Linked DNA regions of Oreochromis niloticus. The protein of the gene in region 1 interacts with the protein of each later gene in a pairwise test. Links are inferred from orthologs where the notes say so. Each region holds a gene or a part of one and is shown in the gene's direction. Other genes may lie near its edges. The genes, in order: gfap, ribc2, sh3yl1 and pdlim1.

Evidence for each region.
Region 2: the proteins of gfap (region 1) and ribc2 interact in a two-hybrid assay, tested with the Homo sapiens proteins (2 studies listed by BioGRID and IntAct). The two-hybrid records come from large-scale screens. The link is inferred for Oreochromis niloticus from reciprocal best matches to the Homo sapiens genes GFAP and RIBC2.
Region 3: the proteins of gfap (region 1) and sh3yl1 interact in binary tests that used the Homo sapiens proteins (3 or more experiments, as listed by UniProt). The two-hybrid records come from large-scale screens. The link is inferred for Oreochromis niloticus from reciprocal best matches to the Homo sapiens genes GFAP and SH3YL1.
Region 4: the proteins of gfap (region 1) and pdlim1 interact in binary tests that used the Homo sapiens proteins (3 or more experiments, as listed by UniProt). The link is inferred for Oreochromis niloticus from reciprocal best matches to the Homo sapiens genes GFAP and PDLIM1.

The regions. Positions count from the first base shown.
Region 1 is NC_031969.2:28,883,567-28,890,552, forward strand, and holds the start of gfap (glial fibrillary acidic protein), read left to right. Parts: upstream 1-3,966; 5' UTR 3,967-4,007; coding exon 4,008-4,528; intron 4,529-6,022; coding exon 6,023-6,083; intron 6,084-6,182; coding exon 6,183-6,278; intron 6,279-6,372; coding exon 6,373-6,534; intron 6,535-6,691; coding exon 6,692-6,817; intron 6,818-6,986.
Region 2 is NC_031972.2:62,003,920-62,010,980, reverse strand, and holds ribc2 (RIB43A-like with coiled-coils protein 2), read left to right. Parts: upstream 1-4,637; 5' UTR 4,638-4,738; coding exon 4,739-4,855; intron 4,856-4,945; coding exon 4,946-5,027; intron 5,028-5,122; coding exon 5,123-5,443; intron 5,444-5,534; coding exon 5,535-5,653; intron 5,654-5,750; coding exon 5,751-5,924; intron 5,925-6,032; coding exon 6,033-6,199; intron 6,200-6,205; exon of another isoform or gene 6,206-6,282; coding exon 6,283-6,352; 3' UTR 6,353-6,536; downstream 6,537-7,061. UniProt on the Homo sapiens protein: Microtubule inner protein (MIP) part of the dynein-decorated doublet microtubules (DMTs) in cilia axoneme, which is required for motile cilia beating.
Region 3 is NC_031986.2:26,980,787-26,987,674, forward strand, and holds the start of sh3yl1 (SH3 domain-containing YSC84-like protein 1), read left to right. Parts: upstream 1-3,868; 5' UTR 3,869-4,100; coding exon 4,101-4,101; intron 4,102-5,314; exon of another isoform or gene 5,315-6,339; intron 6,340-6,888.
Region 4 is NC_031978.2:25,484,257-25,492,178, reverse strand, and holds the start of pdlim1 (PDZ and LIM domain protein 1), read left to right. Parts: upstream 1-4,914; 5' UTR 4,915-5,085; coding exon 5,086-5,178; intron 5,179-6,221; coding exon 6,222-6,373; intron 6,374-6,880; coding exon 6,881-6,965; intron 6,966-7,922. UniProt on the Homo sapiens protein: Cytoskeletal protein that may act as an adapter that brings other proteins (like kinases) to the cytoskeleton. Involved in assembly, disassembly and directioning of stress fibers in fibroblasts.

The DNA.
Region 1 (6,986 bases):
CTAGATATGTTGGCTCAACTATGCAGGAATTATGCAAAGTCACTAAAAAGTATAATTTGTCCAGACCAAACAAGTACAGCAGGGGTGTGAGGGACACAATCAAGCACTCTCCCCACCTGCGTAGTCGTTGGAGGATGCAAGTCTCATGTTCACAAGAATTGATGCAGATAGGTTAAATTCATCTTGTTTAATTTGTTGCAGGACATCATTTTGTGGGTGTAACACCTTTTTTTTTTTAAACCCAAAGCAGCTAGTTTTGATTAAGGCCTACCCCTTAATTTACACCCTGTCTGTCCTTGATGTAGTGATGAAGGTGGGGCTGAGACAGTCGTATTTCCAGCTTGTTGGTCAGGATTCAGTTTGGTATGTGGCCATGTACATTCAGACATCAGCCAGGTTGAAGAATGGTAGCTGAGAGGTTCACACTGGGGTTTCTGGATGCAAAATGCCAGAGCAGTCAAACTTAGCTGGCTGCGATTTTATCTTGGCCTGAGATCATTTCAGTTTTAAGATTCTGCCCCACACCCCTTCTTCTTGTAATTCCTGCAGATAAGATGGTCTTCTTGTGCTGGATCTATGAATCAGCTGTTTGACTTGCAGCAGGGAGCAAAGAGAAGGAGAGGTCTGCAGCACCACTTTTACTCTCTTTCTGCCTGGATGTTTAATCATCAGGACATATTACCTCAGTGACCAGAACTCAGGCAACGGTGGTGATTGCCGGAAAAATTCAGAGGGGCGAAACAATTACTGTCACCTTAATGATGCAAGCATGCTATTACTCCTTAGAGATGGAGCCTTTTTAATCAACAAATCTCTGCCAGACTTACAGTGTGCCATCTTGTTTAACCTGCTTTAAGAGAGACCAATTAGAATTCAAGACAGTGTGCTGTTGTTTTTCTTCTTTACTAGCAACAACACTCAGAGGCCAAATAGTAAAGTCCTAGGGCCTTTATTCACTGTCTCCCACTGAATAAAGGCACTATGATTGGTCTACAGTCCCTGTGATTTTATGGCCTAGTAACAAAGAAATCCTTTATGAACCACTGCTGTTGTGGTTTTTACTACCTTCAGCAGTTAAATGTGCTACTGCCAGTTTGATCTTCCTAACACCAAACAAAAACAGAATTGATATTTTTGCTGGAATTTAACCAATTACTGGTACTTTTTTTTTTTTTTTTACCATGTTGCAACTGTTTTTTGGGGGGAATTTGCAGAGCCAGAATGTAGAACTAAACAAAAGGCAAGCCTTTATAGAGGTTGATCAAGGTTCCAAATGTGATACAAAAAGTCCAAAGAACTAGGAAATGCCAGGAAACATGAGGACACAAGAGCAGGACACACACTGAGGATTACACAAATGACACCAGAACAAAGAACAGAAGGAAGAGTGAGGTTTCTATAAACCCAGAAGGCTGATTAGGGATAAAGCACAGGTGGCAGAATCAAACAAAGGTGAAGAACAAAAACTTGCATGACCAAACATGGATACAAAAGACTTATGTGAAATATATAAAATATAAATTAAAGATAGTGAGAAGGGAACACCTGAGGACAAAGACATGAACACAGAAAGAGGAGATAGAGAAAAGAAAGAAACTTGCTACACAGTTACCGTTGCTTTTCTCATTAAAATTACTTAGGGTTATTTACTGTATCTTGTCAGCAACACAAAACCAATATTACTCATAGTTTTTTTTCCAGCAGTATTTTCCCAAACTTTTAGTACTTTTGTGTCTTTTTGAGCTCTGTTTTCAATAACATTATTGTCATGCCAAAATACTCTGTTCTTGACATGAGGGATATATTCTTGCAGAAGGAAATGGGCACTTGGTCAAAATCTCACTTCCATAAATCACATCTTCTTCAAAAAGATCAGCTGAGGTGGTCTGAGGTAGCCAGCTCTGTGGTTGTCAAGGTAATGGATGATAATGGTTTTGCAATGCAGACTCTGTTAGTCCTCATAGAGTTCAGATTAAAAGGCTTTACTCACCAACTCCCTTCCTCCCCACATCTCACCACCTGACCCCACTCATCTCTGCCATCCATCTGTCTTTGGAACCAGCAAGACATCTAATAACCAGACACAGTGAACATCTCCAAGGGAAGTGTTTTTCTTCTTTCTATTGAAAGTGTGCATGTACTGCAGTATATCTATCTATCTGTCTATCTGTCTATCTATCTATCTATCTATCTATTTATTTATTTAATTAAAAGCTCCAAAGCACTTGAAAATGCTTTGAGATGAAGTGTTATAGATTAATATTTAATGGCATATATAATGAAAACCCTGGGTCATAAATAATCAGGTGCCATCTTATCTTAATAGTACCATAAGGTACTATTAAGGTACTATAAGGTGAGATACCTTATCTTACCTTATAGTACCGTATCACACTATTACAGCACTTCGCTCTCGCACTGCAGACTTACTTGTTGTTCCTAGAGTATTTAAAAGTAGAATGGGAGACAGAGCCTTCAGTTTTCAGGCCCCTCTTCTGTGGAACCAGCTTCCAGTTTGGATTCAGGAGACAGACACTATCTCTACTTTTAAGATTAGGCTTAAAACTTTCCTTTTTGCTAAAGCATGTAGTTAGGGCTGGACCAGGTGACCCTGAATCCTCCCTTAGTTATGCTGCAATAGGTGTAGGCTGCCGGGGATTCCCATGATGCATTGAGTATTTCTTCTTCAGTCACCTTTCTCACTCACTATGTATTAATAGTAGTGCTGTCAGCGTTAATCTCGTTAAAATGACCGCATTAACACGTTAGCGAGTTAGCGCGGATCGCCCCGTGCGTGGGGCTGCATGGCGCTAATGCATTAACAAGCTAACCGCCGTAACGCGTTGACGCCATGCTGGCCCACGCACGGGGCGATCCGTGCTAACTCGCTAATGGAGATTTGCCACAGCATGTCTTTTATCCCGTCTTCCTTCTTTCTTCCCAACCGGTCGCAGCAGATGGCCCCGCCCCTCCCTGAGCCTGGTTCTGCCAGAGGTTTTCTTCCTGTTAAAAGGGAGTTTTTCCTTCCCGCTGTCACCAAAATACTTGTTCATAGGGGGTCATATGATTGTTGGGATTGTTATTGTAGGGTCTATCTTACAATAGAAAGCACCTTGAGGCAGCTGTTGTTGTGATTTGGTGCTATATAAATAAAATTGAATTGAAACTGAATTGAATATACTTTGTTGAAAATGTATTTTCTCCAGTCTGGGTAATATGAACTTTTTCATCATACTTTAATTTTCATTACTGAATAAGCACATTTTATAATAAATATTCCCATTAAGGATGAGTTAACGAATAATGTTATGCCCTTTGTTATATAACTGCTGCCCTAAACTGTGATCCAAAGAGGAGTGACAACAGCTCTTAGATTCTCTCCACACAACTGACCCTGTGAAATCATTTGACCCTAGTCTCAAATGATTTCACAGGCTTTTGTTGTGCACACTTCCAATACACTCAGCAATGTTTTTAATATACTAATCTTTCTTTGTATCTGTACCTGCTCCACCTGCCGATCTGAAGTTATTTTCTGATTAGAGAGCGAAGATCTCTCCCCAGCACCCTTTTGTTTGATCAAACTGTGTTTCTGTTTTTGTGAGAGCGCATGTGTGGTCAGCTTGAATTGGTGGCCAGACCCTGTCACACAAATTCCTTTTCATTCAGCTCAAACAGAAAGAAAGAGAGGAAGACAAAAAAGGGTGAAAGTAAGAGTGAGAGAGAGAGTGAGTTAGAGGCTGGGGAGAAGGGAGGAGAAAGGGGGAGAGGGAGAAAGCCAAGAGACATTTGTAGTTGAGTGGACGAGCACAGACAATCCCTGGCGCACAGCTTTTTGAGTGTCATGTAAACCACCCCTTCGCTCTCCCTTTTTGTCCCATTCACTGCCTGCCACCCTCCCTTCTCTCTGCCCCACCCTGTGGTCTCTCTGCTTTGGTCTTGGGGGGGTTGGTTGCCTGGCTGTATAAAAGCCCTGTTTGTGCCCAGAGCGAGCTCCATTCCCCAACATGGAGAGTCAGAGAGTCCAGTCCTCATACAGGAAGCGTTTTGGGCCCCAGAGCTCGAGCAGCTCTGGAGTCAGAATTGGTGGCCTTTCTTCTAGCCGCCTCTCCTGGCATGGCACCCCTCGCAATGTCACCCACTCCAGTCCCGTGTCGCGGATCTCCCTGGGCTCAAGCAGCACAGCCCTGCTGCTGGGGAGCCCTGTTGATCGGCTGGACTTCTCAGCTGACTCTCTGTTGAAGGCCCAGTACAAGGAAACACGAACTAACGAGAAGATGGAGATGATGGGCCTGAATGATCGCTTTGCCAGTTACATAGAGAAGGTGCGCCTGCTGGAGCAGCAGAATAAGGTGCTGGTGGCAGAGCTGAACCAGCTGAAGGGGAAGGAGCCAAGCCGACTGGGAGACATCTACCAGGAGGAGCTCAGGGAGCTACGACGACAAGTCGATGGTCTCACCAACAACAAGGCTCGAATGGAGATCGAGAGGGATAACCTGGCTGCAGATGTGGCTGCACTTAAGCAGAAGTAAGAGGTAGCAGGGCAGGACTTCTGTGGGTGGAGGATCATGTAGGTGTGATGCATGATCCCACAGTAGTACCACCCATTTGTATCTCTTTTAGAGATTGCATATGTATGTATAAGAATAATGAAAGAAATGCAAAGGGTTATTTTTTAGAGTTATGTACTGAATTTCAATTTCATATTTCATTTTTCAGTTAGTGTACAGATGTTTTGGACCCTTGTTTATGTTAAACCTTACCATGTTCTTGATTAAAGCATAGTAGAACCTGAAACACACTCTGAAAAACATATTTGGACTGTGAAAGAAATGCCCACAAAGTGTGTTTTCTAGACAAATGCTTTTGGTTAGCTGGTCTTTGATAGGAAAACACATTCAGCTGGAGTAGATTTTATGTATTTTGGCACAAAATAAGACAAACTCTTTCCAGTGGAAAGTTTTTTTTTCTTAGTTTTCTTTTATAATTGCCAGTTCATTTATATGCAGATTTCAGACCCGCTGGAATGCAGCCCACTGTGCTCTGCCCCAGCTTTACTCCTGGATCCCTCTTTACAAACTTGAACCCCTTGTCCCCATTGAGTGAGTGCGAAGGAATGAGGGAAACACAATGGTAGCCCAACACAAAGGGAACGGCCAGCCGGGCAGATGTTCACTAGTCCCCTGTTACTCCAAAATACTGATTCACTGCCATTGCATATGCATCTTTTTTAAAACTTTAGATGCATATGTGGCATGAATCTATACTTTAATCTTGTGAATGAGTGACTTGAAGCCTCTAAAGGTTCGAAAGGTCTCTCTCACACTATATCCTCCGATTACCACGCAGCTGCTGGTCCTCTAAAAGAATGCAGCATGAATAGTGATGATTCTGGTCAGAGGTCACTTTTGTGATTCATGCTGCTCTTCTTGAAGCCCTCTTTTCAGCAATCGCTCCATGAAGCCATACAGATGCTTAGAGTTCCATGTCACTGTGTGCATGGCAGATGGATTGTAGGGTGGTGCCTATCTGTGCACGAGGCTGTGCGTACGTGCGTCCTTTTTATGTCTGTGTGTGTGTGCTCCATCCCGTGGGAAAGGCCTCTGGCTGCTAGATTGGAGTGAATGTGTAATGATGCGTAAGCTGCCCTTTCAGCTGAGCCCCGCACATCCCCAGCAGCATGGGGAGCAGCAGTAAAGCTGATATCACGAATCTAATCGATGTGCGTGTGCGTGTTTTTAGTCCTTGCAGACGATACTCTGTTAGACATAAATGAGAAACTGTAAAAAAAAATGTAAAAATCCTTTCATGCTTGTTTCCTTTTTGCTGAGATGTGAAGGAGTTGACAAAAAAGGCTCATGCACAACAAGTTAACTCAAAATAAATGGTGTGTTTATGATTTTTGTCTATAAAAGTATTTTGCACAACAAAAACTGGAAAGACTGGATGTTCTGTTAACCTAAAAAAACCAAATTTGAGTAATTTTTTTAATTTGGTTATTTTTCTCCTTTGTGTGACTTAGACTGCAAGATGAAATTGGGCTCCGACAGGATGCAGAAAATAATCTAAATGGCTTCAGACAGGTAATTCTGTTCCCTGAAATCATCAACTAAATAATTTAGACATTCGGTATGACTGACTATCCAACTTCATCCCTCTGTGTGCTTCATTTTTTTTCATAGGATGTGGATGAGGCGTCTTTAAATCGTGTCCAGCTGGAGAGGAAGATTGATGCCCTGCAGGATGAGATAAACTTCTTGAAGAAAATTCATGAGGAGGTAAGAAAACAACTGAAGGAATAGAAGTCACGGAAATATTAAGGCACCAATAATTGCCACTAACCACAATCAAATTTGGATTTCCTCCTTGCAGGAACTGCGTGAGTTACAGGAGCAGATCATGGCCCAGCAGGTCCATGTTGATCTGGATGTGTCTAAACCAGACCTGACTGCTGCTCTCAGAGACATCAGGGTCCAATATGAAAACATGGCAAGTTCAAATATGCAGGAGACTGAGGAATGGTATCGATCCAAGGTGAGAAGAATTAGCTGTCGGACATAAAACACTTATTGTATAAAGTGAAAATGTGTGAAAATTTAAAAGAAATGCACAAAGATAAAGATAATGTTTCACAGCTAATAAGCTAATACACACACCACATACAAACGAGCTGTTTCATCTTTGTACACAGTTTGCTGACCTGACAGATGCAGCCAATAGAAACGCAGAAGCCCTCCGCCAGGCCAAGCAGGAAGCCAACGAATATCGTCGTCAGATCCAAGTGGTCACCTGTGACCTGGAGGCTCTTCGTGGCACAGTGAGTACACCAGATCACGCAGATTACACAGACATTTTGAATTCACAAATTACACTGCTGTCAGATGGACTTATGGCAAACACACACTTTTTTAAAATAGTTTGTTAGAACTGTAATTTAACAACAAGTGTGGAGCTGAAGCACAACTCAGAAACTCGTGCATAGTCTG
Region 2 (7,061 bases), on another chromosome or scaffold:
TCAAACCTGCAGCTTTTGTAGGCTGTTCCCAGTCTGCAGTGGTCAGTATCTACCAAAAGTGGTCCAAAGGAGGAACAGTGGTGAACCAGGGTCCAAAGCTCATGGTCAGAAAATGCTGGCCTGTGTTGTCATGTCCAATAGACGAGCTACTGTAGCTTAAATTGGTGAAAAAGTTCATGCTTGTTTTGGTTCTAAAACTAATGAAGAGGCATCTTTTAGCCATTATGCTCCAAGTTTAGGACGAGTCTACCTGATAACCCACGTGCTGCTGACACTGTTGAGATTTTTAGAACCAAACTCAAGTATTTTCTTTTTAGTTTGGGTTGTGTCTATTTTCATTGCATTATTTGTTTACATGTTTATTCCCCTCTTTCATCTTACTTGCCTTTATATTCACCTTTTACTTTTTCCCCTCCAGCATTTCCAAATGACAAGGTGGTGTCTAATGTCCAGGCAGGGCTGTAGGATTGAAGGAGTGATGAGATGGTGTAGTGAAGGGACATGTGTGTAGTTTTATTTTCTGCTTTTTATGAATAGAGCACTTTGAACTGCATCCTTATTGTCTGAAAAGTCCTGTATGAATAACATATTGACTGACTGAAAGGTTTCAGCATCAAATGCTGCGTATGTTTGTGTAGCTGTAGACAAGTCCATGCTGTCCAAACTGACCCCCATCTATTGCCAAATCCAATGCAATGGAAAAAGCTGGCCTGGTCTGATGAATAATACTTTCTTTAACATCACGTGGATGGCTGGAGCGTGTGTCGCTTAGCTGGGGAATGCATGGTACTAGGTTGCACTTTGGGAAGAAGCCAAGCCGGCAGAGGGAGTCAGCGTAATCGTTGGGCAATGTTCTATTGGGAAACATTGGCCATCCATGTGGATGTTATACTTTGACACATCACCTACCTACACTGTTTCAGAACATGCCTACCATTTCATGCAAATGGCATTTCCTCATGGCAATGCCAACAGGAACTTTCCTTTCACATGTTAAGACTTTATTTCTTGCTCTGTGGCATCTCTTATGTTAATTTTAGATTTAGACATGATTGATTTTTAGGATTGTCCGACTGGTTTGTGTCAGCACAACAGAAAAGCACACTTGAATCAGATGTTCTAATAATATCCAAGTTGGTGGCACAATAGCATTAAAAAACAATTTGTTAAACTGGATATACTGTACGATTATTGAAAATGCATGATTGTGGACATCCTTGTGTAGGAAATAGACCCAACACAAGATGAAAGATTTCCTATTAAAACTTTACCAACAACTTAAGCAACCAATGTCATCATGTCCAAAAACACATTATAGAGTCAGCAGATGCTTGCTAATTGAGGGAAATGTTTACTTAACCGAAAAGATGAAGTTTGGGATCCCTGTCAATAGAAAAATGTGCCAGCGTCACTACAATAAATGAGCCAAATACAGGCTGCATACCTTCTGCGTATGGCAGCATGAGGGTATAAAAAGAGTGATTCAGTACTTTGTTCTTTAAACTCACTGTTCTCACGATAGCTAGGGCAGCCAAAATTTGCCAACAACGCCACCTTGGGAATTCCACCCAAATAAATGAGTAGAAACACCAGTAAGGTACACAGATTTGTTCCTCTAGTATGAGGCAGAAGACCAGAGTTCACAATTCAAACTTTGAATTTTATTACACAAGGAAAAACATCGTTTTAAAACTGTACACATTCAATCATACTGGAAAAGGGAGTTTGTGTTCAGGACTGAGACTTACCAGCAGATGATGATGATCACTGAGTACTAGAAAGGGCAGCTTATACATACCTGACCTGCTAAACAACTCTCACCTGGACGGGAGAGGAGCACCTCCCGACCCAGGTGACGCAACATGCCAATGATTTCTACCATGTAAATAGCCCACGTCAGAATAGTTTAGGTCCAAAACTAACAATAGTGCTAACAACGCGTTACATACCTCTTCTATTGTATTGTGCGCACCTGAGAAAGAGTGGTAAATGCCCCACCCCAACAGCAACAGGAGATGTGACAGCAAAAGGCCTCTAAGTGGGAAACCAAGTTAAATTAAGCAGACAAAACATCCTTCGTCTGTGCAACGGGCACAACATGTGTACGGCGTCAATGCACCTTAAAACATGCAGCCCACCAAACAGCGAGCGACAACAGATGATTGAGGTGATAGAGCCTCATTATACAGACACAGCGCCCCTGCTGGAAATAGGTCAGCATATTCAAAACAGGCATGCTTGCTCATAGATAGCTAATGAGTACCAGAATGTTACTGGAGATGCACTTTTTACTTTCTCATCTCAACTGTTTTCCCACCAAACCACGGAGATGACTTCGATGAGCATGGGGAAATGTATCATCAAGATACAAAAGTGATGGAAAACCAAAAAACACACACACACATAAAACATATTAAGGATTGTAAAACATAAAACTGTTGTTGGAACCACACACATATATGAAGAGAGAGAGTATGCATAGCATGCAAATGGCTACCAAACAGCCATCATAATTCGTCATACAATGAGAACCGGACAAATCAAGAATTGACAATGACTAATTAATATTGTGCTGAACACAGTCCAAAAGATTCAGTCAGCTACATCAGTGCCTACTGTTTACTATCATAGCCAAGTGGCTAACAAACGTAAACAGACGTTTTCACTATCCCTACTAATTAATGTTATCCTGTTGTATCTCTGTTGTGGTCAGTGCCATCCTCTATGGTGTTGCATGCTGGGGCAGCAGGTTGAGGGTCACAGATACCAACAGACTAAATTAACTGATCCACAAGGCCAGTAATGTTGTGGGGATGGAGCTGGACTCCGTTAGGGTGGTGTCTGAGAGGCGAATGTTGTCCAAGATAAAGACAATGCTGGATAATACCTCCCACCCACTCCATGATATGCTGGCTAGCCACAGGAGGATGTTCAGTGAGAGACTGAGATTACCCATAATGCACCACTGAACGACACAGGAAATCATTCCTGCCCGTGGCCATCTCCCTGTACAACTCCTCCATCTAACACACTGTGAACACTGCAATAGTTACACCCTTTTTACACACGCTCTTTTCTACTCTGTAATATTCTTGTCAATTTTCTTGATAGTTATTTATAATCACCTCTGTTAATTCTTGATATTTATAATTGAGTGACCTGTATATATTAGTGCTATTTCTTAAGTGTGTAAAATCTGTAACATAATGTATTGTTTGGAGTTTAGTCTGTTACTGTTACTATTTTTACAATTTCTTCTTGGAGCAACTGTAACCCACACAATTTCCTTAGGGATTAATAAAGTATTCTGAATATGATTCTGATTGTTTCAGGATGACCTGCCATTATCCAATGACACATCTGCTTACCGGTTGCTCGTTTCTCCTCCTCTTCTTTTCTCTTTTTTCTAAACTGAGCACCTGATGGCTTTGAACTTTTCTAGTCCAACTTCCATTGGTTTTAATTTTGCACTCCAGTATGAACACCCATCCCCCAACCCGAGGATCACCACAACATAACCTAACAGACCTACACCTTAGCTCACAGATTCACTTTGTCTAGGTTTTATTTCTGGGATTTCGCACAACCCAGGATTCATTTTAAATTGTCATTGATCCCTTTACCCCTCGTCCTAAAGTGTATATTTATTTTCTTACTCTTCTTATATTTATTGTTTGTTTACTTGCACTGCTGTAACTGGAGCCTCGTCGTCTCGTCTCTCTATATACTGGACTGTATATATCGGAGATGACAATAAAGTTTACTTTGACTTCAGCAGCAGGCGCACCGAGGGCTCTCGCGCTCAGTTTTCGTGTATAGAATTTCGAAAAAACATCGGTGCAGAATATAAGTCTGTATCATAATGTCTGGTGTTTTCGTGTTTGTTTTTATTTTGTTTTATTTTGCGAGTTGGTTATTAGATGCTGCTCCAGCCAGCCAGAGAATCCCCCGCCGCCCCGCCCTCTCCTCTCTGCGCCGCAAGCATCAGGCGCACCTCGCAAACGGAGGGCGCCCTTACTCCCAGCAAATGGGCGATAGAAAACCGATTGGTGCCCATGCCATCCCCAAACTGCGCTGGCATGATGTCGGGGTAGCATGAGTAAATTTTTTTTTTTTTTTTTTTTGCCGATGCCCGTGATGCCGCCCCCACCACGATGCCGCCCCGGGCAACCGCCCGTGTCGCCCGTATCAAAAACCGCTACTGGTTGCGTGTCCCTCAAACATCTTTTCTTTAGAGCTGAAGTGGCAGAAATGCGCTTTAACGCAGAATAGAGACATCAAAACTAAAATGCTTGGAGATGGGAGTTAAAATTCTAGCAGCAGAAAAGGGATCGGTTGGATGGTTTGGTGATGTGGATCTCAAAAACATGACGAGCAAATATGAGTTGGATTGCAAATCTGAAATCAGTGTTGTTGTTGTTTTAAAATAAAAAAAGATAGTTTGTTTTTTTTAATAACCCAGGCCAGTGTTAGTTATTGTTCTGCCATTTTTAATACAGGTCCAAGATTTAATGCCTATCAGTAGGTGGACTCTCGACACCATCCGCGTTGCGACTGGTGTGCTTTCATTGGCTGAAATGTTTCGATCCGAGGCGTCTGGGGTGAATGCTCCGGAAAAAGCCGACGTCGTACGAGGGCTCGCGAACACTCTGGTGTCTTAGCAACCAGTGTGTTTGAACTCCAAGTTTCAGACGGGAGCAAATCCTCAACTAAATGGTAGCCACCGCTGTGAGCCAAAATGCGTAAAACTGAACTACTTTCAATGCGCCTCGCCAGAGCAAGTCTGGAGAAGCGTCACAACATAGAGACTGAAAGAAAAGAAAGAATTTTTAATGAGAAACTGAGGACGATTGGGGTACGTGTGGGTCTGAATTAAACAGAAGTGGAAAGTCTGTGGCAGAGGAGGTTAACGCATTGAGTTTGTCTCTAAATGACTGTTCTACAGGTTGACAAGGAAGCCCTAGATGAGCAGGTGAAAGAGAAAAGGGAACAAGTAGAAGCTGCAAAAAAGGAACAAAACGCCTATGGTGAGTTACTTCAAATTTGTTTCCTGATGTGTGTCATACAATCCTTTATTAAAGTGAACTGTGGTATATGTGTGTGGCATGTGATCGTCATGCAGATGCTGATATGCTCCATTATGGCAAAGTAGCTTGCATTCTCGACAGCCGCCAAATGAAGGAGAAGCGTGCACTGGAAAAAGCCATTGTTGCCTACAGGCAGAAGTACCAGCAGCCTGAAGATCGACAGGAGTATGATCTGAATGATCCCGGCCGTGTTAAAAAAATAGAGCAGAATGATGCACAGATGATGCCTCCTGGCCTGGTGGGTGAAGACCCAGAAAGTAAGGTCAGGCTGCAGAACCAGAGGGAACAGCTCAGAGAGTGGCTCACCCAGCAGCAGACTGAGCAGGCGGTGGAAAGGCATCGACAACAGCTGGAAGGTGGGTTTTGCCTTAAGACCATGCTTAATACACATGCTCAGTTCAAACACAAAAGGCAAGCTCCCGTCATATTTTCTACTGAAATTTTTAGAGCAGCGTTATGACCAAAGCAGAGTAGAAATGGACAACAGAGTTGTGCAACTTCAGAGCCTTGAGATAGAAAGGAGAAAGGCAGCTGCCATCGCCACTAAAGACTTCAATCGGTCTATGGTGAGTGAGAGGAATTTAACTGCATTAAACGCTGCTATAGGCTTCAATAAACATTTTTTATTTCCACCTTATTACTCATGTGTCTCCATGGGAAAAGGCTGAAGAAAAGCGGCGTCAAGACAAGCAAATCAATAGTAGGCAAAGCCAGTTTCAAGGTACCCCGAGTACGGAGGCCGTGCCCGGCCTGAGTCCCAGCAGTGACAGGAGGACACCTCCTGAGAGCCTGCAGCAGATCATTCAAATCCAGAAATATCAAATAGAGGAGAAGAGGGTAAAAAAAAAAAAATTATATCTGCACTCAAACAGTATGGATCATTTCAAAGGTAGCCCATATAAAGCATTTTATCTCCTAATGTGTGTGTTGTCTGTGCACGTAAAGAGAAAAGAACTGGAGAAGAAACAAGAAGAAGAGTGGCACGATCGCGTGCGCCTGAACTCAGCTCGTACCACTCTGCTTATTGAGAGGCAGCAGGCACGAATGAACAGGCAGCTGAGGCGAGACCTGGACAGCGCCAACGCCCAGCTGGCCGAAACACACAAACAACAGTAACGTTTGAGCAAAATTGTTTTTATTAAATTTAACACAGTGTACATTGTCTCACTGTTTTTAACAATGTTTCATTTTTAAGGAAACCAGACATTAAAAGAGGACGTATTGATGACAGCTTCTTCTCCAAGTTCAACACCTGCAGCAGATGAGGGGTGATGCACTGCTCTGATACCAGTGATGGTGTTGCATAAAAAGAACAATGAATAAACGGAATATCACAGTGAATAAACAGCTGCTTTTATGTGAAATGTAGTTCAGAACATTCATGTTTGCATGATTTGAAAAATGTTGATTAAATTTCAGATACTGCTTTAAAAAGTAGCCTCTGAAAGATGATTAGTTTTTGTGTTTCAAGTCTTTCGCAGTTTTGCCTCCATAAGCAAATATTAATTACTAGTCAGTTGAAGGCATAAGTGTTAAAATTATATTCAAGTAAAAAATCTTACAGATGTTTAAAAAAAAATGCTTTCTTTAAAGAAAAATGTTCCATCGGTCATATGATTTAAAACACACACACAAAATATATTTTGTGTGATATATATATCAGATATATATTTTATATATCTGATACATATGCCTGGTTTGATGTGCTTTGGCTAATGTTGCCACCTTTTTATGTTAATGCTAATATATGCAACATGTGAGAGAACTACAGAGAGAAATAAAACAGCAGTTAGCATCTCAATCACTTAAAGCTGTGTGACACTGTTACTGTATTTAACATGGCATTGTGAGTCTGTTTTACCTTTTTTAAGGCTTTTTTTTTTCCACAGTAGGCGACATGTTATGACACATAATTATTTCATTCATTACAAAACATTGTGGGAAACAACACTATATTTGTGCCTACCACAAACC
Region 3 (6,888 bases), on another chromosome or scaffold:
AATGTCAAGGCTTAATACAAGATTCCTATTAGGGGAGTGCAGAACTGGGAGGATGACCATTAATGGACAATAGGACTTAGAAGGGACTAGAAGACTAGAGGATTTGGCAACTTAGAGGATTTCTGTGGAAACTGAGGACTCTGAAGATTATGCATTATGTTGGACTAGAGAAAAACAACTTTAAAGTAAATTCAACCTTTTATGGAGAGAAGAGGCCTGAAAGGAACATCTGAAGAACTCAAAGACTAGAAGATAACTTGAAAAGGCCAAAGGACCCAGGGAAGAACTCAAAAATTGATCTGTGACTTTAGAGGTGTACTCATAGTAAATTACCAAGATTAAGAGGACTGGAAGGGAGATATTAAAAAGGCATTAGGTTACTTGGGTATTGGAGTGCTTGACTAGAAACTTGGAAACTGTGGAAATGACACAAAGGGTAAAAGATAACTTTGAAAGAGACTTTTGGGGGAACTAACGATACAAAAGAGAATAGAGAACAAACAACTGAAAGAGTGGGAAAATGATCCAGAACTAGCACTCACTGAGAACTGGGAAACTTGGGAAAAGGCTTTATCGTTGAATTTGACTTTTAAGACCACTGATAAGGATTAAAGACTCATTTTACCATAGGATAACATCAGATAGATTCAAGAACTTACAAGGATTTGGGATTCCTTGAATTGAAGGCCTGGGAGAATGATTTGTGGATGATTTGGAAAGAGATCTGAACCTGGAGGTTGGGGTGGGGGTGATCTGCAGATGTCAAGAGAACTTAAACACTGAATTATGTGGACGTGAAGAGTAACTCAAAAGTCTTAAAGAAGACAGATCATGGACTGCAGGACTTGAAAAATGATTTCTGAGGATTTTGAGGAGGCCTGTAGAGGATTAGAGGAGTGGGAGCCCTGAACTGTTTTGTAGAGACTGGGTGGCCTCACGCATACACACTGAGTGGAAACACATTAGGAAGACAAATGGCTGCAGTCAGACAGATGTTTATCCAGCAGGCTATTTAAAGAGAAGCGATTGTGGAAAAAGATAAAGATGGTGGGATGAGAGGAAATGAGAGATCAAGGCTGAGAAAAAGGAAAACATGGATAAGGAAGGGCATTGATGATTTGTTTCCCTATTTAAATCTTTTTATGAATTTCATTGATCATTCTGTTTAATTTTATGGGGCAGCACAGTGGCCCAGTGCTTGTCACTGTTATTTCACATCAAGAAGGTCCTCCATCCAAATCTAATGTCCAGGTACTCTGGCTTCTGTCCACAGTCCAAATGTAGTTAGTGGGTTAGGTTAATAGGTTAACTTTAGAATGTATGGTTTTGTTCATGTTTACATTTATTTGAAAGGGACAATGTTCATTAATTAACATGTGCACTTAGATTCACCATGTAAATCTGTCAGTTTTACATGTCAGCCTGATTGGAAATTATTGCTAAAATTTAATGAATATTTAATTTAGTGAATTATTGGTAACATTTTCAATCATCAAGCATCTTTAAACCATCTTAAAATTATGCATAAATGAAAAAAAAACCTCATTAATACTTTATCAAAACCTGTTTTGAGTTTGTTCAAAAATACCAGAAAATATTAGTGTCCAAAACTGATATTACATTTTTAACTAAAATGTCAGAATTAAACATCAGCAAATGTAAAGAAATAAAAATGAATATAACAAAATCAAAAGATCAATAAAAAATGAATGTAAAATATGAAAGAAAAAGATGTAAAACATGTAAAAATATTATTGAAATGCATGTAAAATCAATAAATCTCTAAGAAATATATTAATGGAATCATTGCAACATATCAAATGTCAGAATAAAGTATTAGGAAATAGTAAAAAAAAAACCGATGCAAATATTACAATAAAATAGCTAAGAAGTCTAAATGATTCCTACAAAATATGCATTAAAATGTATGAAAATACAGGTATGGTAAGGTATACAGGTAAATAAGGCATGAAACTGTCCAAAAACAAGTTTTTGGTAAACTGGGTGGTTCAAGATCAGCCATGTCTAAATTCAATAAGCTCCCTTCTCTAAATATTTACGCGCTGCATTTTCTCAGCAGTAGATGGAGTCGTGGACTTACAGGTTACACAACATTACTACTGAGTGATATAACTGTGTGATTTGTTATATCAGCCACAGCGATGCTGGCAGCTAACATTAAGTTCAGCTAAAGATGCCAGAAAATCATATTTATCTCCAGTCAGGAAGTCACTGCCTCTGGAAACATTTATCTTGTTTTCCACATTTGTAGAATTTAAACTTTTCCCATTCAAATGTCATTATTTAAAGTTTAAAAAACATAATAATATTATTTAAAAACTCAGCTAAGTCTAAAAATGCCTTAGGAGTCAGAAGCAAATCACCCACTATAATCAGTTTGAGACTACAAGTAGTATCAGTAGTGGATACTACTTTGCAAAAGTCTTGAGCCACTGCTCCTTTCTTTATCTTTTGCTTCCAATGAACCAGGCACTCTTATAGTTTTTCAAAGTGATCTTCAGCAGTTGTTCTCCACGCTTTCTGAAGATCTTTTAAAATATTTCTTTGGACATTGGCTGATTTTTCACTTGTTTTCAGTCCAGTCCTTGTACCTGACCACTTTCAGAGGAATATTTGTTTCTGTGTGTTTGTTTGCTTGTTTGTTGAACCACTTAACAGTGAAAAAACAAGTCATTTAGGCAAAACAGGCACTTAACTACAGACATCAACCAGTGTTGATTTACAGATGCCTAAAGATGCCTACAATTTTAAATTGTATCTTTAGGCACATTGTTACTGCAGATTACCACAAACGCACATAATTTCTTCAATAAAAAAAAAAACGCCAATGATAACACAGCTTGACAGACACAAAATTGTATTTTTCCCCCAAAAGCTCTTAGCCAGAAACTTGGCATATCTCAGCATGGTGTGCAGTGTGTCCTTAAAATATGTAAAATATAAATGTAAAATGACTAAAGAAAAGGTTCAAGCCTAAAAAAATCAACTATCTACAGCAGATGAACAGAACCTGAAAGTAATGTTCCTACAAAATATGAGAAATGAAGGAGAAGAAAAAAAAGAAGACGTATCTGGCATTTCAGTTGATCTACTGTTCACTGGAGCCTCGGGCTGAAGTAAGTCAAATTACACAAAAACTGGACAAAAATGTTTGGTTCAAATCATTATCAGTTTGTACTTAGGTTATCAGGAAAGAGGTACAACAGTGAGTGTCTACAGCAATCTGTAAAACGCGGCCGAGGCTCCATCATGGTCTGCATTTGAGGCAGTGGTGCTGGGAATCTTAAAACTGGTGGACTTATGAACAAAGAAAAGTACCTTCAGATTTTATTCCACTGTACAGTACCATCTGGAAAGTGTCTGATTGGTGGCAGTTTCGTTTTTCCACATGACAAGGATCCCAGACACCCTACCAGTGCAGAAAAAGCATATCTGGATAGCACTACCAGTCATAGATTGGGGAAGAAAACCCACGAGAGTGGCACTCCAATCAGTTTTTTCTTTAAAAAGATTCAAATGCTTTATATATCAATGGGCATTTATTACATTTTTATTGTTTATTATTCATAAAAAAAAATAATATATATTTTTTAATATCTTCAGTATATTTTATATATATACTTTTTTTTTTAGATATTGTAATAATATATACAATTAATCAATTCAATGTGCAACTACCAGAGGTAAAACTCATTATCTGGATGCAGTATTTTTACTGTCAGATATTAATATACCTGAGAAACAAAAAACATCTGAGTACCAAATTAAAAGCCTCCACATTAACCGCGCACCTGAGAGTCTGAAATCAGGGAAAAATCCACTCGGTCGAGCTACCTTGCAGACACGCGAGGGCGCGCCTAGTTGATAGAGAGCACCACCCTTCACACAGCAAACCGACACAGTTCCAACTGCCCTCACCTAACCACGTGCCTCTACTTACAGCTTCTCCTTTACGTAGTTTTGCGCGCGCAGTTTCCGGCTGTGAGAAGCGTCAGGTGAAGCGGAAGTGAAGAGAAGAGAAGAGGCTTGTACTGCTCACCTGTCGTCAGTCAAACTGACAGAGAAGAAACAAGAAAAAAAGTAAGTTAAAGATAAAAGAGTAATTTAAGTACACAAGGAGTTATTTTATGTGTCTGTCTGCTGTTTCCGGTCTGTTCTACCTGTCTGCTTTACCTGTACACCTACAGGGTTAGGTTTAGTAAAAGAAGAGCAGTTTTACCAGGAAACGTTCTTACAGTTTGTTTACTCCCTTATAAAGGGCAGTTTTAGTTTTTCTGGCTCCCAAACTGAAGAGTAGGACCCCCCAGAGGGTCACGGGCAGAGGGAGATGTGGGTTAGGGGAGTAAATATTTGTTTATTAAAATGTATGTACACAAAAAAAAGAATTTTCAGACATTAATATAAATATTTTGTGTATATTCTTTTAACTTACACGCTGCCTATTTTGGGCCTGGCCATGGGTTGGGTAGGGCTGGGGGGCTGCTCATGTTGTGGAGAATCTGTGACATCTCATTAGTGTTAACAGGCTATCGTTAGCTGTTAATCAGCTGTCAGTGACTGCTTCTCTGTGCTGCTGGGTTTGTTATGTTACAAGTGAAATTAATAAGATTATACTAGTTTATTGCCATGGGACCTCGTCATATGTGACCAGAATCTTATGAAAAATAATCAGAACTTCCTTGTGGAGGTAACAGAAGCAATAAACCTGCGCTAATTCCCAGTAAAAGCTCCCCATTCACATCTAAAACCTCTTTAAAGACCACCCGGCTCCTAAATAACTAAAACCTAAAGGACTTCCGCCAAAAATCTGACTGTTCTTATTCATGACTAACTAACCAGGACAAGTTAATCCTGTCTGGTGACTATAGCATGGATCACAAACATAAACCACTAGAAACTACTAAGAGGGACTCCATCATCAAAAACAGCCAGAGCATGAGAACTGACCAAACCAAGAAACATTCCCAGCTTGACCATCACCAATGTGTTTTACTATCCTACATCAAAGCATCGTGTTCACATTAAGCTATTTACCTTGTAATTCTCAGCAGTGTGATGTCATACTCCTTGTATACCTACACCCACTTGCGGTAACTCTAGCCTCTCTCATTGTATTAATCAAGCTAATCCACAAACTTATCTCACTTCAGCTATCAGTGGCATGTTCAAACAAATTCTAGCATGTGCATGATCATACAAACACCTCAGGGTAGATGTTGCAATGACCATTATAAATAACACCAAAACTAAACTTAATTACAAAGCCGTTATTTTGCTATTTTTTTGTCAAGTATATCAAAAGTAACGCAGAACTTTATGAAAATATGATAAATTTATATATAACATGATCTAGTTCATGACACACATGGTGGAATTTAAGCCTTCTGTAAGCCTTACACTAATCCAATGTCTCAGTATTTTATGTTGAACTTCAGCTACATTTTCAAAATGCCATATTCCTGAGGTCATAGTAGTAGATATTTGGATTAAAAATTTGAATGACATAGGTTAAATAGTTCTCTAGATATAGCTATTTAAAAATACCACCATTGAAAGGCTTGAAAAGACTTGAAATTACCCCTTCAACATTTTTATGAGCAAATCACAGGGAAATCACAGATCATCAGTTGACATGCAGCCACTTTGGAAACCTCCCTAGTGACCTATTTAGACATCTCTTTAACAAACAGTACCATCTTAAACTCCAAAGGAACATTGTTGCAGGCATAAGGAACACCCTTAGCCAACCAAAAAAGCAATTAAAATCCTGTATAACTGCTCCAAAGATGAGTCAAACTTCTATGTAGATGATCACAGTCTAATTACCAGAACGTCTGACCAACAACTAGAACATGAAGGAATGCTTCAACCTCCTTAGCACTAATCTAAACTTGCATTATTGACTAGAATTGTCTAAAAAGAGCACTAGAACTTCCATACACAGGTAGATTCTGTCTGAAAGATGGCTATAACTAACTCCACCTCAGTGCTGGCTGGGGTGGAGCCTAACTGAAGCCACTGGATTCACGTTCAAAATGGAGGATTGGGTGGTTTCTCTGAGTCAGTGTTTTCTCCATCAGTGCTGCAGGCTGTGATGGAGTCTAGGCGATGCTGCAGGAGCACTTGGCCATGTTGGCATGTTGTTGGTCAGCGGCACATTTGGATGTGCTGTTCAGGCTGTGTCATGTGTCAGGAATTTGCTGCTGCAGCAGGAGTGCATTTTGGCATGTCGGCAGACTGGTCACAGCTCTCTGACTCTCACTGCAGAGATTTCCTGGAAAGTCTTATGATGTGAGACTTGAAGAAGAGTCATCTAATCTTTAAAAATCAAATACAGAGAAAATGGGAAGAAAATTAATCTCTTACTGTTTTCAAAAGCAAAAATACAAATTAATTTTCTGGTATTAACTTTTAAAAAAATGTATTTTAAATGTGAACACGGAGCTGCTGTTTTCAAATAAAAGAGTTCGAAGAACTTGGTTAAAAGAATCCCAGTGACTTGGTAGAGAATAAAACGCTATCATAATGATATATATGTGTGAATAATTAATTTAATTTATGTATTAATTATTTCTGGAAAAGAATTAAAAGGTCCTGCACCTGCAGACTTATGTGTCATATGTGTTATCATCTAAAGGTTTAGGCATCCATCAATTAATATTATTCTGATAAAAATAAAATCTTATTATAATTTAAATCTCTTTATATTTCAGATATGTTCTCATTTTTTTTGTCTGTGAACAAATTTAGTAGTTTAAAATGTATATATTTAAATAATAGACTTAATTTTGATATTGTGAAAATCACATTTTATAAATGTTACACAAAAATGTAAAAATGAATGATGGTTTAACTAGCACAAATATT
Region 4 (7,922 bases), on another chromosome or scaffold:
CATGGTTATAGGTGCCAGTCAGGCTGGTCTGAGTATTTCAGAAACTGCTGATCAGCTGGGATTTTCCAACACAGCCATCTCTGGGTTTACAGAGAATGATCTGAAAAAGGGAAAATCTCCAGTGATTCAAATAACACTTTGTTACAACCAAAGGATGCAGAAAAGAATCTCCGAATGCACATATCAAACCTTGAAGCAGATGTGCTACAGCAGCGGAAGACCCCACTGCTGACAGTTAAAAACAGGAAGCTGAAAAACTACAGTGTACCCATCTTCTGATGATTCTCTCCAGCAGGATAATGCCCCGGTGTCCTAAAGCTTAAATCATCTCAAACTGGTTTCTTGAACATGTTAGTGAGTTCGCTGTACCCGACGGCCTCAACAGTCACCAGATGTCAATCTAATAGAGCACCTTGGGAATGTTGTGGAACGGGAGATTCGCATGATGTATGTGCAGCAACTGTATGATGTTATCATGTGAGCGTGGACCAGAATCTGAAGTTGTTAAATCTGTGCCAGATGAATTAAGGCACTTGTGAAAGCAAAACAGGGCCAACCCAGTATTAGCAAGGTGTAACTAATGAAGTGGCCGGTGGGGGTTATGTTTTGTTTGTTTGTTTGTTTGTTTGTTTTGAAAAAGCAGATCTTCGAACTTTGCCTGCGAGTCAGGGTCGAAGGGGGAGCTGTTCACGTCTGGACTGCTGAACGTCAGCTTGTTATCTGATGATCATTTCTGATGTAGTCCACTGTTGTGGCTGCACGCAGGAAAGTGGGTGAATGCTGTTGGGTGAAATGAAGCAATAAATGTCAGACTCCTGTAATCTCAGTGAACAAATGCTGAAAGCCGCTCAGAGTCCTGAGTCCCACTTGCACTATATCCACTTGAACTGATAACAGCGTCACTTTAAAACGGGCTCACAGGCTTTTTGGCATACCTAAAATTACAAAGCAAAACCCACAAGAAAGGACGTGTTTCATTCAGTTTGGCCGCCTTGGCCCCCCCTTTATTTTTTTCCTCCACTTTCAGCAGAGGCCCACTGGCAGGAATTCAGTTTTTGGGAGCGGCACATTCCACATCCTGGGATTTAGCTCTACCATAAATGGTAAGTTTGCACATAACAGGGTGACGCAAGGGCAGGCCGACGTCTCTAAAACAAACTGAAGCTCTTGTGAGAGGTCCAAAACACGAAGAAGTACCACTCTGCTCTCCTTTCAGAGAAATGTCCCTACATTAAAAGTAATGTGGTCATCGCAAAGTTGCACTTTTCTGTTGTTTAATTTGAGTTTAATAATAATGAAAAATTAAAGTAAAAGCAACACGGGAACTACAGCAGTTCTGAGTCATATTATCTTCACAGTGTTACACAGTCATTCACCAGGAAGATGAAAATTAAATGGTGTTTTTTTTAAGTGAGCAATCAGGCCGATCAGTTCATCAAGCCGCAGAGCATGAGTCGGCAAAGTGCTTCACGTCTTCCTCATTATTCTGAGGAAACACTACAAGTTCCTCCAAAAAAGGGTCTCAGTTATGTTCAACCACACAAAGTTCCTGCCTGAACACATTTAGCTTCCAGGTTAACGCAGCAGCATTTCATGGACACAGTGAGGCTGTGGCCTTCCAGTGGTTAAACTGCTGTGGTGTGCACAAAAGCACAGCTGTCATCATACAATGCAATGCTTTTCTAGCATTACTGACCACTCGAAGTGTTTTAGACTTTGATTTGTTTTATTCCGCAGACTGTAAACACCTTATCGAGCCCTCACGGTTAGCTTCGGTGTAACTTTGTGCTGAACAAGATCTCTGTCTAAATAAATAAATAAATGTGGGTAAATTCCCAGATGATTAAACATGCAACTATTTTTCTGGTAATACCTGAAACAAGTAAAGAAAATCAACAGCCTATTTATGCAAGATCATTCATAATTTTATTGTGGGGGTTATATTGGTTGGGTCTGATTACTGGGGGGGGGTCATAACACCACTAACCCCCCTGGAAATTACGCCCCTGCTGGTTAGAATCACCAGTTAATGTGCATGTCTTTGGACTGGGGAGGAAGCAAGAGCACCAGAGAAATTAAACGAAAGCCCCTAAAAGGCAAGCTGAATTTAAAGGAGTTCCTGGAGATCAAGCGATCTCTGTTGGAAAGAAGCTGCTGTCCGTGGGGTCTCTTCAGAAGCAATCGTTCTTATGTGATGATAACAAATGGGTCACCATAGCTACTGCAGTGGAGCTGCTTAATATAAAAATTAATTTCTTTTGCTTACTGCTGGTAAAGAAAGATTAGACCACTGTGCTTTAAGTTAGTGTTTTCTTTCAATACGGATATTGTATGGTAGTGATATTTAGAGGTGTGATTTATTCATGAACTGTATTTGGATAGTCATCAATTAACATTTTCCGCTGGGATAGACTCCCGAATTGGATGAGCCGAAGATTATGGGTGGATGTATGTGCCAATAAAGAACAATAAATGAAAAATCAGAGAAATTAATCACATTTATCTATGTACATCAACAAAAAAGGTAATTCAAGGCACAGCGAGCATTAAAAAATCCAAGTTATAGGATAAAGATCTTTGAAGTATTCATTCCTCTGCCTTCACATGCATGTGAATCTGAGTGGCAACCTATTCTTAATTCATAGGGTTTAAATATGATGTTAGCCCACCCTTTACATAATAATAGCTTCAACTCTTCTGGGAAGGCTTTCCTCAAGTTTTACACGTGTTTATGGGAATTTCTGACCATTCTTCCAGATGCACATTTGTGAGTTCAGACGCTAATGTTGGACGAGGAGGCCACAGTCTCCGCTCAAATTCATCCCAAAGGTGTTTTTTTGGATTGAGGTCAGGACTGTGCAGGCAAATTACACTTGGCACAATGCAGTCACACAAATACCGTTCTCCTGGAAACTATCATACCCAGACTTGTCCATTGGATTGTCAGATGGAGAAGAGTGATTCGTCACTCCAGAAAACATGTTTCCACTGGTCAGTGGAGGCGTGCTTTACAACCACCGCATCCAGCTCTTTGCATTGCACTTGGTGGATGTACCTGCTCGGCTATGGAAACCCATTTCTGGTGAACCTGGCCCATTTGTCAACCAATCAGCATGTGACTGACAAACAGCATCATCCATGACAAGCAATGCGTAGTTGGGATTTTGCAGGGAGCGTGTTTACACTGGCACTTTTGCCCCTCCATATACTCTATATGCTTTATTTACATTACTATGGTTGTGTCCAGACTCATCTGCCTGGCCTGTTCAGTACCGTCCTTTCCTCTTGCTAAGCTGCATCAATGGAAGGATGCAGTTACTGAATTGGGACCCAGCTATAGCATGCTTCAGTGCTTCATATCGGCACTGTTAAAAAAATAAACAAACTCCAACACAAGTAAAAATTACAAAAGGGCTAAGCTGTGCAGACATCCACGTGCCTGCCTGTTTTTGTGACCACGTGGACTCGTCTGCAGAGACTTCAAATAAGGGTAACAGGAATTACTAGTCTGCTGAGGTGTTTCCAGCTGTCCATGTCTGAGTATAATCAAGGCTTAAAGTGACAAGATGAAAACATAATTAAGAGATTAATAACTACTAAAGATGTAATAAAATCAGTGACTTCTTGTAGTATTTTTTCCTCTAAATGTTTTCTTTGCCATAATTTTTCTTCTGCATTTATGAAGGACTGACCCTCCTCATCCTCTGCTTTTGTTTTGGATCCATCATGCTCCACTAATACGGACACTTTTGTTTATATGCTCTGTAATCGAGTGTAACGCTGTGAGTCTGCAGGTTGTGTTTCAGAGTGACTCAAGCAAAGTGTTTAAGCCCAGTCAGGATGTGATTCATCCATCACATATGGTGTTTCACCTTCAAGCAGACATGCTGACTTTAACTGGCCATACAGAAACACAGCCAAAATGAAACAACTTACTCCCAGTCCAGCGCAGATTCAGTCTTCACATGCTCCTTTTAACCTTAGCAGCAATACTAAAGACATCCTTGCACATTCAACACCAGCCCAGTAGCAGGAAAAGTTTTATTTTATTAATCACAACAATATAAAGTGTCTTGATTAGGCTTTAACTGCTCCAGGCAGAATTACAGGCTCAAACATGCATTCTCTTTATCACACCAGCATTACTAATGCGGCCATTAGCTGTGCAAAGATTGTGAATCCTGAAATCACTTACACGTCATGCTCAAGTCTAACCATGTCTGTGTAGATTCTCAGTCATCCAGATCATGTTGGTCTTGAGAGCTTGAGAAAAAGAAGGCAACTGGTCTTTTTTAAGTTTGTGAAGACGTTTCAGCCCTCATATAAGACATTTCTTCTGTTCTAAAAACAAAAGGTGGAGTGTCCCAGGCATTTAACCCATAAAGGTGGTGTCCTCTTTGGAGGTGGTCCTGAAGGACCCACTATTGATCATGTGAGTTGTGTGGAGAAAGGCGTGGGTCATTGCCATCACTGGACTTTGAAACCAGGTTTCCCTTGAAAATATGATGTTAATCTTAAACGACTTCATGGTTAAATAAAACAAAGGTTAAACAAACAAATAAATAAGGGTGAAACAACGGTGAGAGCTTGCCCCCACCCTATCGAGGTCACAAGGCAAGGTGTGAGTAGGCGTTGAAGCCCTGGGAAGGGACCCTGATAACTAGTGTCATGAGCCACACAACAGTATTTTCATTGCTTCAGATTTTCTTAATAAGATAAACACATGACGAAGAAAATGATGGCCACTACTCAGTCGCCGTGTCCAAGGGGCTTACTCCCCCAGGATGGTGGCTTAATCCCACAATTCTGCACGTTAGTGGCGTATGCGCGAGTACACATATGTACACGAGTGAACCATCTTCTCCATACACCATCTTCGGTCTCACTTATCAGGGAGGAAACTTCAAAATCTATTCGTCCAACTGTAATCCGAGGGTCCTCCCCCTCCACTAATGCGGTGGAGTTGCAGTCAGCCTCAAACTTTTGACCATCGATTACTCCACGTCATTATTGCAGTAGGAAGTGAACCATAGGTCTGAGGCAGCTCCTTAACCATCGTCGGCTCTGTTTCAAAACTTTGACACCATGCCTCTCCGTGTGGCGTTGCAGGGTCCCGGCCCCTGGGGGTTCAGGCTGGTCGGGGGAAAGGACTTCGAGCAGCCACTGGCTATTTCCCGGGTAAGCTCGTTTTACTGTTAGTTTCTCTACCGCTTTTCAGTGTAACCGCACCTGGACTCTCACCTCTCATTGTTTCCCCGCGACTTTACTGAAGGCTGGATGACGATTAATGGTTAGCTTGTGTTAACCGGAGGGCTAACGAACGGCTAAACTAGCGTTAGCTTTCTCAGTTTATTGTAATTAAAAGTTAAATTAGGGGCAATTTTTGCTAGTGCTACCTCAAGGAGCAAACACGGTGGTCAGTGGACCCCACTTAATTTTAAAAACATACATTTTTATGTAAGGTAAAATATCTTTTTTCCTGATGAATTGTGATTTATGTATTTTTTTCGGTCTTTAACTGAGAGTTAAGGCTACTTTAAAGTAGTAGTTTTATAATAGCCGAACCAGAAATGCACTCATCCCAAACAATCGTTGTCATATTTTGTCCCGTACAGAATTTACTTAAGATTTAAAGCGTGATTTTAAAAGTTTAAACTCCACACTTTGACATCACTGTGTGACCATGGACCCATCGGAGCCTCTTTGTCATGAGCTGACAGCTGACACACCTCACTGGTGTTCATTAGCGCTAAGATTTTATTAAGCTTCATACAGGGTGCTGCTCTGGTGGCAGTAATGAACCGGATTATAGCTAGCAAAGCACTCCTCTGTGTGCTTTGTCTGAGCCTAAACTGCATTTTTCCCCTCTCTTGTGAAGGTTATTACTGTGGTCAGGCCACCCCACCCATGGAAAAGTGATTAGGAATTCCTGGACTGTACTGGTCCCTCTCCCTCTCCCTGCTTTAGGCCTTTATCTCAGATAGAGAATCTGGGCTCCAGGAAGCTTTTATCCTGACTCTGCAAGTGCCTTCACTTCTGTTTACTGTTAACAAAGACAGCTGCTTAAAGGTTCTTGAAGGTCAGGTTTAAAACAATGGCACTCTCCTCTTTTGACTTGGAACCCTTTAGGCTGTAATTAGAAGGTGCGTTTTCCATATATTCATAATTATACAGTGCACAAGTAGCTTCTAATTTTATAATTTCTATGTCCTGTGTTGTAGGTCAACCCCGGGAGTAAAGCAGCCCAAGCAAATCTATGCATCGGGGATATAATTCTTGCCATCGATGGAGAACCAACAGAGAACATGACTCACTTGGAGGCGCAGAACAAGATAAAGGGCTGCATAGAGGAAATGGTGCTCTCCATAGACAGGTAAGCTGTGTCTAAATGTGCCATTCTGATCTGCATAGCCATAGGCTCGGAGAAAAAGAGTGAGTAATGTGAGACGGCTCAGCTGCAATCCAGGTGTTCAGCGAGTGACATCATGTTTATTCAGTGATTTTTAAACAGCAGTTCTGTTTGTTTTACTGGTTTTTACCATGTTGCAATCCCGCATCGCTCTGCTGTGTTGTCTTGTAAATTACTCATGACTGATGACTTTTGAGGAGTCGTATCAAAAGGGAATTGACAGACGGTTTGAACCACATATGTTTGCTCCCATTAAGCGATGCCATATTGAATGCATGAAAGGGCGGGGTTAACTGCAAGATAAACAAGAACATGAGCATGCCTGCAAGGGCTCTGTTGCATTCAAAGACACAGCCCTAATATTGCATTCACGTGCTGGTACACAGGAACACGCGGGCGATCCTGGCATTTTATGTTACTGAATCCTCAGATCATCTTTCAAGCCTTGTTTTGCCTTCCTGTCTTCCTCAGGTCAGAAACAAAACTGTGGTCGCCGCTGTCATCTGAAGAGGGGAAGGCGCATCCCTACAAGATGAATCTTGCATCAGAACCACGGGTGTGTGTTAGCATCAAAGCTGTATGAGCTTTAAAAAAGTGACTCCTCCAGCTTTGTCATTTAGAGTGAAATCGAGTAGCCATTCAGTTTCTGGAAGCCAGAGTGCTGTTCTCCCCCCCCGTGCCTGCAAAGGCTTGGGGATTTTTTTTTTTTTTTAATTTATATCCTACTACTGTTCATGATGAAGTCATTGTTTACTTACCAACAGGAGGTTTCCTAGGAGACAGTAGTTTATCAGCCAAGCCCTGACGCAAGCCTCAGTTCCTGCCCGCTGAGTGGAAAGTTGAGGCCAAAGTATGAATTCATGTAGGAAACGGTGTCTCAGGCCCTGTATGTGTGTGTGTGTGTTTCACAAGTCACAAAACTAGTGTTTTTTTTGTTTTTTTTCTCCCACACACATATTAACACATATTTCAAGCACTTCTCTAGAATCTGTTGCTTCACTCTTTTGTTTTATGTAAGTATTGTCAGCTCCTTTGCGCAAGTTATCTTGCTCACAGAGACTCGGAGATTTTGCACTTTTAGAAGCTTGAAGCATGAGCTATATTTGGAGGCATTTCTGTGTTCCCACTGTGAAGCATGAGCTAGATTTGGTGGTATTTGTATGCCCACTGTGATGGCATGCCAGTGTCATGACGCATCTGTCGTTAAAGTTAGCCACGTAGGTATAATTAAGGCAGAGTCCACAGTCATTATCCTGCTAAATTATGTGTGACTTTGTATCAGACTGGAAGCTGCTTTAAAAAGACAGAACCGCTCAAAGTTTCCAAGTCTGTTTTCAAGAAAAATGTTATTGAAAGCGAAGCTTAAAACACAATGGGCCAGTCACTTTCAAACCTTAAGCAATATTTCTAACCCACTTAGCAAACACTGCATGTTTGTACATGCACAAGTTAAGAAAAAAAACTTAGTTTATAGCTCCTCAGGTGTGCACAGAGTATTACTTGTTTCAATCAC